Linked DNA regions of Rattus norvegicus. The protein of the gene in region 2 binds, or shares a complex with, the protein of the main gene of each other region. Links are inferred from orthologs where the notes say so. Each region holds a gene or a part of one and is shown on either strand. Other genes may lie near its edges.

Region 1 (4,546 bases), on a different chromosome or scaffold from region 2:
TCCCATGGCCTAAGTGTGGATGTCAGGGGTCACTGGGCTTGGCAACAGGGATCTTTACCAGCTGACCCATCCTGCAACCCTCAGGTCCCCTTTCTGCAGCATTTTTCTAGTTTGAAAAGAAAAGCATTCGTTTCCTTATGCTCAGGAGCCACTATGGTGGTGAGGTCATGTGTGCAAGGGTCCTAGGGAAGAGAGGCTTTCTTTGCTCCAGGCAACTCTCAGCACAGCCAGGTGTCCAGCTCCCACAACCTACTCTCAGAAGAAGCTCTGAAAGGGGATTTCAGAGGATAATTTTGCTCAAGGAGCTAAAGTCAATGGTTACCTGAGCTCCAAACTGAGGACCACAGCAAGAAAGGACTTCTTTCACAGTACAGAGGTCAGAGGCCAGGGATCCGCCCTAGGAGGCCAAAATTCCAACTCAGAGCTCCCTATCTCTGCCTACAAATTGTGCAACTAAACATGATGACGGAAAGCTGGCCTAAGGGACAGGGTGATCCAGTGTTCACAAGAGTATCCCTAGACCTGCTCCACCTTCTGGGTGTCTCCCTAGTGCCACTAGACCCCTTACAAAAGGATCCTTTAGGGTCTGAGTTTGAGGGTCAGTGGCAGAGCACATACAGGCCCTGGGCCCAACACCTAGCACCACAAAACAAAACTTTTAAGCTAGGTGTGGCCGCTCACTTCTATAATCCCAACCCTTGAGAAGCTAAGGCAGGAAGATTGCTCTGAGTTTAAGAATCATCCTGGGCTACGTATTCATTCATAGCCAGCCTGGGCTACAGTGATGCTCTGTAATGATAACAAACAAAATGAATCCTCTTAAGTATAATGTATATTAATGTTGTACTACATATTGTATTTATTAGTTCAGAAAGCCAGTAGGTAGTATGATTCTTTTACAGACTCTAGACCTGGAAGAGTAGGAATGGAGGGGGAAAAGAAGGGGGAGGAGGAGGAAGAAGAGGAGAATGACACTGTTCCTCTAGAGGATACTGAGTCTTTAAACACTGGTGTCTGGATTCCTGATTACTAGTATCTGCGCATCTCTGATGTGCTGGACCTTCTTCTAAACACCTTGTTACACTGTCTCCTTTAATCGCTACAATAATTCCACAAGCCAGGAAACTAATTCTTCTTTCTGAGAGGAGAAAGCTGAAGCTCTGGGATTAAGTACTGACCAGGGAGACACACCTCATGAGTAGTAGGTCCTAGGTTGGAGAGAGGACACAAAACTTGAACTTTTAACCAGTGAGGTCCAGGTTAAAATGAGGTAGAAGCCTGACTACTCAATTCTACCCCACTTGACCTACATCAACATGAGTCACTACTCCTTCAGGACAGATGGATCACTGGCTGTGTACGCATTTGATGATTTAATTCTAATTAATACCAACCTTAGTCCTAAAAGATCTGTTTTCAGCCCCTATTTTACAGATGAGGAGATAAAGACTCAGAGACAGAACAACTTGTCAGAGGCTGCCCAGTTGGCAACCAAGGGCAGACTTTCAGGTTTCTGGGTTAAGCTTTGGTCTACAAGTCGTCTTGGGTAAGACTTATTTCCCTGGCTAAATTGGAGGCAGCACTTGACCAACATCTTCCCGGCATTTAGCAGTTGGCTTGATGAGGTGCCCATTTGTCTCCCATTAAATCCTGCATCCCCAGAGGCAGACACAGAATGGAGAGGTCCTCAAGCTTTTTTCTTTCTTCACTGCTGCCCCCCCCCCCCCAAGAGCCTGGCAGCTTCCACTCTGGCATCCTAAGTTCATCAAGGAGTCTGTCACTTGGCAGGGCAGACTAGACAAACGTGCCTGGTAGGATGGACTTTATTAAGTTTTTTGTTTGTGCTTTGTGCAGCTAGGATCTGAAGACAAAGGGCAAGAACCACAAGAACCTGAGAGGTTTAAGAACCACAAGACACCTGAGAGGTTTAAGGATTCGTACCAGGAAGAAGCCTCAGGTTCATTCTCAGAAGTGAAGCTGCTAAAACATGGAATACTCCTGGGAGACCTCTGGGCTGAGAGACTGGGAGGAAAAGGCTCCCCACTCCATAGCTCTAGCCAGCATTCGGGAACTCAACTGAGATTAGACCTTGCCCCCAAACACGTACAACTGGTTTTGCCCAGCACTTCCCAGGTGGTCTGGCTTCAGGTTGGATCCTACCTAGCTTCCAACAATAAAATGCTTTCCCACAAGCACTGGGGTTTTTCTTTTCTTCTTGTGTAATGTGTTAAGGCCTCATGTAAGGTCGTCATTTAACTAAGCAAGGAGTGGGGTGAATTCAAAGGCAAGATAAGCACTGCTCTCGGTTCCTCAAACTCTGCTCAGAGCTTTGGGAACTCCTGGTTGGGAAGAAAGTACCCTGTCGAGTTAGTGTCGTCCAGTGCTGAGATGGAAGTACGCCAGAGTGGGCTGGAGAGGTGAACACAGACCTGCTTCTCTGGAAACCCATCAGCACGGCTGCAGGGGCATGCACGTGGAAAAGACAGGTACCGGCATCCCTATGTGGGTTCTGTGCCCCACCTCCCTGCCTCAGTTTTCCCATCATGCAGAAAAGGATGGGGCTGCCTCTTAAAGACTCTCTAGAGCGATCCGGAGGCCTATGTTCTGCATTAACATTGCTCTCTGCAGCTTTCCCGAGGGTCGCGAAGCTGGAGGACCGGTACGGAAGGTAAAGTGAGAAACGACCGCAGCTCTGGCTACGGCCTATGCCCTAACTGCTGCGTCTGGCCCGGAAACCGTGCATCAGGCCGGAGACAGAGGTTCCCGCGGGCCGAACGGCCACTCACCGGCATGACTGACGCGGCACAGGCGGCACAGGCGGCACAGGCGGCGGCACAGGCGGCGGCGAGGACTAGAACGCCTCTCCCGAACACCAAAGCGGCGTTTCCGGAGAGCGCTCCTGGAAGCCACGCCCTCAGGCCAACCCAGTCTTCGGCCGGGCCCCGCCCTAGGGATGGGCTCTACTTAGTCCCCGCCCTTTCCGGGGTCTAGCTTCCGCAAGGCCCCGCCCTTTGAGGAAGACTGTTCCGATCCCTTCGGTCCCAGTTACAGCCAGGCTCCTCCCTTGGGCTGGCTTCCACTTGGTTACCGCCCCTTTCTGACATGACTATTTCACTAGGTACCCCCTCTCTTCGGACCCGCCAGGCTCTTTGGGGCCAGTCGGAGGCTAATTTGTGGAGACCAGACCTGTACCTTCTACTGGGTCATTTCTGAAACAAGGTTAGGGAATGAGAGGCCAAGGCTCTAGGAATGAGGGATCTGGTATTTCCCTAAAGGGACCGTCTCTCTTGCTTATTACTCAGTCCCTAAACTACAGTTGCCTGGCCTAGGGCGGCAGGTCTGTTGACCCAGTTACTAGAGCGGCTGAGGTAGAAGGTTTCTAGGTTCAAGGCTAACCACAGCTGTAAAGTTCAAGGCCATTTTGGACTTCTTGAGACCCTTTCCTGAAAAACATATTTAAAACAAAACAAAACAAAACAAAACCAAATGTAAGTGTAAGGCACAGAGTAAATCAGTACACAACTCTAAAACCAGGTCTTGAAAAGTTGAGGGCCAAGTGGTGCCTTCAATCCCTGCCCTCTGGAGGCAGAGGCAGGCGGATCTCTGAGTTCAAAGCTAGCTTGATCTACAGTGCAAATTCCAGGACATCCAGGGCTATGTAAAAAAAAGAAAAAAAAATCTTGTCTCCAAACCAAACCAAACCAAAGCTGAGGGAGAAGGACCCAGAGGATCCAGAGTTCAAGGTGGCTGTGACCTTTAATTTCAGCACTCAGGAGGGAGCAATACCCACACAGACTTGCCTATAGGCCAATTGGATGAAACCAATTCTTCAGTTACAGTCCTTTTCCAAGATGACCGAGGCTTGTGTCAAGTTTATCAAAAAAGATCTAACCACTCTTATCCTAAGAAAAAACAAAACAAAACAAAACCTGGGAGACTGTGTCTTTCTCACCCAATTACGGCAGCCCAGTCGACCAAGTTACTTCATGGGTAATTGATACGCATGTAGAAGACGGGCTTCCTCGACAGTGCCAGAAGGACCAACAGATTAGATTTATCTCCTCCACCAGCCATTTGTGTCCTTGAGCTGAGGGCTAAGAGAAGTTCCCTAAACTAAGAAGGCAATCTGTCGTTCTGTGTGTCAGGATGGGTTCAGTCAGAAACTATACTAAAATTTGAATATAGAACTTATAAGAAGTTGGTTAACAGAAAAGTCTAAGAATCTAAGACTAGCTGGATGCAACGGGTGGGGATGGCGACACAGGTGTCTATAAACAACCCCTCCCCCTATTCTCTGGAGGCTGAGGCCAGGGAAGTCATGAATTGGAGGCCAGTCTGAACCTTAGGAAAACCTGTCTTAAATAAAATGAACTAAAATAAATGTAAGAACATAATAGCTAGGCATGGTAGTTAACACCGTTAATCTCATCATTTAGAATTGGAAGCAGGGGAAGACAGTGACTGTACACACACACACACACACACACACACACACACACACACACACTAAATACAATCTTAAAAAAAAAAAGAATTGGAAGCAGGG
Region 2 (3,812 bases):
GGCTTTGTTTTTAACAGGTGAGAGGAATGACGTGTGCCTCCTGTGTCCATAAAATTGAGTCAACGCTCACAAAACACAAAGGGATCTTCTACTGCTCTGTGGCCCTGGCAACGAACAAAGCACATATTAAATATGATCCAGAAATTATTGGTCCCAGAGATATTATCCATACCATTGGAGTAAGTCTTGATTTTGTTTTTCTGTCTTCCCTTTCCAGTGAACCACCTTCTGGAATCACATCTGGTTTACATTAGACAGAGACAATGAAAAGACCCCTTCGACTGTCCACATAAGAACATTAGTGTGTGTCTGCTTTTGTTACCCCCAACCCCCATGGCCTTCATCAGGAAACTTACATGCACATTTGTACAATTAAACCAAGAGCAGACCTGAGCTGGAACTGTCAATCACTTAAAGTATTTAGGAAACGGATATAAAGTTAAATTTGTAAGAAAGACTCTAGCAAATCACTATAAAATTAAAGCATCATGCTGGATGTGCTATGGTTTGTTAAAGCAAATCAGAACAAAAGAAAACAAAAAAAAACACTTTCAAGTTAAATGCAACCCTTTGTGCTAACTTCATCCCATGTACTTCAGTGCATCTTAAGCAGTTATATACATGTATTTTATATTTATATTGTGCATATTTATACTATGCATTGTCAGTGTGCTATGAAATTGACGTTCTGATGATTGACAGTGTATTACAGTTCACTGTATATACTAATATCCTATTATTTGAGGCAGATATACCATCGATATCTGTGGAGCTGGCAGTTCTGAGTATCTAGCCACCTTCAGCAGGTACACAGATGAGTTGCCAAGCTCCAGTTTTAGATTCTCAGAGCAGGGCTGCCATCTTATTCAGAGGTGAAACAACTTGAGAAGCTATCTGTTGAGTTCCATGAGACTTTATGCTGATCACGCTGGCCCTGGAGCTCACGTTTGCTCCTTTCACCACGTTACGCTGCCAACAACTAGAAGATGGCAGCCGTTTCCCTAGCAGTTGAAAACGTGGTGGTTTCAGTTATAGAACTCTCTGAGCCCATGTGCATCTTACTGAGGTGTAGTTCCCTCTTCAGACTTTGCTGTAGTGGGGGAAAGGACTCTGGTTCATGTTTTTTAAGGTGGAACATAAATGAGGGCAAGGCCTTGGACAGTGTATTTACTATAGTGCTAGATTTTTTGCACTGTCGGTGGAAATGGCTATTGCCCTTAAGTGAAATTGCCAGTTTACGAGCAGCAAAATAGACAGTAGCTAGCCTCAATGTGCTCTTAATTTCTTCACAAACTTAGAAACCAGATTAGTCATGGGCAGAAAGCTCTGGACAGCTTCATGCTTCTATTCCCCAGAATGACACTGACTCAGGAATTGAACTGAGTTGTTCTAAGTAATAACAACATGGCTTAGAATATCTCTGCATGGAGTGAATTGACATTTTTCTCATGAATTTCCTTAGAACTTAGGTTTTGAAGCTTCTTTGGTCAAGAAAGATCGATCAGCCAACCACTTAGATCATAAACGAGAAATAAAACAGTAAGTACTTTGGGGTTGTTAATAAAAACATTTCGACTCCTTTTAGAAATTTAACATCCTTTTAGCATGTCAATTTTTACTCTAGTATTTTTTTTAAGATTTACTTTTACTTTTCAATTGGGTGTATGTGTGTATGAGTGTATGACACATGCATGCAGGAGACTGTGGAGGTCAGAAGAGGGCGTTGGATCTGCTGCTACTGGAGTTATGTGTGCTTCTGAACTGATGTGGGTGGAAGGAACTAGACTTGGGTCGTCTGAAGCAGCAGTAGGAGCTCGTAACTGCAGGGACATTGATTGCTCCAGCCTCATGATATCTTCTTACACTGAGTGAGATGGTTTTTCTGTAGCACATAGAATATTTAACTTTTACGTTACTCACTAACTAAAAATGTGTTTTTTCTTTGAAAAATATTTTCATTTAAGATGGAGAGGGTCTTTCCTTGTGAGCCTGTTTTTCTGTATCCCTGTAATGGGACTGATGATCTATATGATGGTTATGGACCACCACCTTGCAACTCTAAACCATAATCAGAACATGAGTAATGAAGAAATGATCAACATGCATTCTTCTATGTTCCTGGAGCGTCAGATCCTGCCGGGACTGTCCATTATGAATTTGTTGTCCCTTTTATTGTGTCTACCTGTACAGGCAAGTGACATTATCAAGTATATTATTTGATCTTCACTAAAGGTTTAAAAGTGATGGCTCAGGGTGTTGTTCAGTGGTAGATTACTTGTCTAATATACTCAGAGCCCTAGGTTCAATCCCAGTACCGCCAAAACCAAAAGCAAAACAAAAGGCAGTAGTACTAACAATTGCTTAATGCCAATTGTACTAATGGAAGACAAGCCTTCCTGTTATACTTCCACCAGAACCCGTGGCTTGTGATTGACTTTCTGAAAAGGGCTACATATCATATATTAAAAAAAAAAAAAACTGGGCTGGAGAGACGGCTCAGTGGTTAAGAGCAGTGACTGCTCTTCCAGAGGTCCTGAGTTCAATTCCCAGCAACCACATGGTGACTCACAACCATCTGTAATGAGATCTGATGCCCTCTTCTGGTGTGTCTGAAGACAGCTACAGTGTACTTATATATAATAAATAAATCTTTTAAAAAAACTTTCCAAAATATCTAAATTATCTTCCTAGTTTACTTGTTTAAGCTAGGATCAAAAAGGAAAATGTGGATCTCTGTGAATTCCAGGCCAGCTTGGTCTATAGAGAGAGTTTCAGGACAGTCAGTGCTACACAAAGAAACCCTGTCTCAAAAAACCAAAAAAGAAAAAGAAAAGAAAACTCGCAACAGCCCTCTGAGGTTTTTTTTTAATGGTATGAAGTATTCATTGCATCATAGATGATGTCCCTTGGTGTCTTGCACAGCAACTTGAAGGCCTTGTGTACATACCTCTGCCAAAGTGCAAACTTGTTCCTACTCAAAATCTCCCTCTTACAGCCAGGTGGAGTGATGCATGCCTATAAGCCCCAAACCTCGTCAAGTTCAAGACCAACCTGGGCTTACATGTGAGGCACTATAACAGTGTTTATGGACTACTTAAAAGGCAAAGGAAGCAAACATTGATACTTTATGCTAAGTTTACTTAGGTTTACATATGAATTTCAGTTTTAGGAAAATTCAGTAATATTCACTTTTCTGTTACAGTTTTGTGGAGGCTGGTACTTTTACATTCAGGCTTACAAAGCGCTGAGGCATAAGACAGCAAATATGGATGTGCTGATTGTGTTGGCAACCACCATTGCATTTGCCTACTCTCTGGTCATTCTTCTGGTTGCAATGTATGAGAGAGCCAAAGTGAACCCTATTACCTTCTTTGATACACCTCCTATGCTGTTTGTGTTTATCGCACTAGGCCGATGGCTGGAACACATAGCGAAGGTAAAGTAAGAAAGGGTGACATTTGTTAAGATAGTGGATCAGTCAAAGACCTCAATGTTTTCTCGACCACTCATTAGAAATATGCATTGATTTATGTAGTTAATCGTTTTACTTTTAGCAATATGTTCAGCAAATTTACCAAGTTTATATCACTGCCAGGGTTAGAGGATACCCATGGTACTTTGTGAGAACCATTTGAGAGGTAGTTATTAGTCATATCATATTGTTATTTGAGAATTGATTTTGCCATGTGACTTAAAACAGTGTTGTCAAAGGTCGTTCATGTTTCCATGCTGTGATGAAGGCCACGTTCTAATCCTGCTCCATGTACCTTTATATTTAACTGAGTTAAAAGCATAATCTATGTGCATCTCAG

The links.
Region 1: the proteins of Atp7a (region 2) and Atox1 are in contact, whole or in part, in an NMR structure (PDB 2K1R), measured with the Homo sapiens proteins. The link is inferred for Rattus norvegicus from reciprocal best matches to the Homo sapiens genes ATP7A and ATOX1. Residues at the interface, in NP_000043.4 of Homo sapiens: Cys19, Asn20, Ser21, Cys22, Trp24, Thr25, Gln29, Asp67, Asp68, Met69, Gly70, Phe71, Asp72; in NP_004036.1 of Homo sapiens: Thr11, Cys12, Gly13, Gly14, Cys15, Ala18, Arg21, Val22, Lys25, Lys57, Thr58, Gly59, Lys60.

What each region holds. Positions count from the first base shown.
Region 1 is NC_086028.1:40,077,672-40,082,217, forward strand, and holds the start of Atox1 (copper transport protein ATOX1), read right to left. Parts: upstream 2,891-4,546; 5' UTR 2,793-2,890; coding exon 2,787-2,792; intron 1-2,786. UniProt on the Homo sapiens protein: Binds and deliver cytosolic copper to the copper ATPase proteins. May be important in cellular antioxidant defense.
Region 2 is NC_086039.1:75,227,422-75,231,233, forward strand, and holds part of Atp7a (copper-transporting ATPase 1), read left to right. Parts: intron 1-17; coding exon 18-179; intron 180-1,462; coding exon 1,463-1,539; intron 1,540-1,964; coding exon 1,965-2,190; intron 2,191-3,202; coding exon 3,203-3,436; intron 3,437-3,812. UniProt on the Homo sapiens protein: ATP-driven copper (Cu(+)) ion pump that plays an important role in intracellular copper ion homeostasis.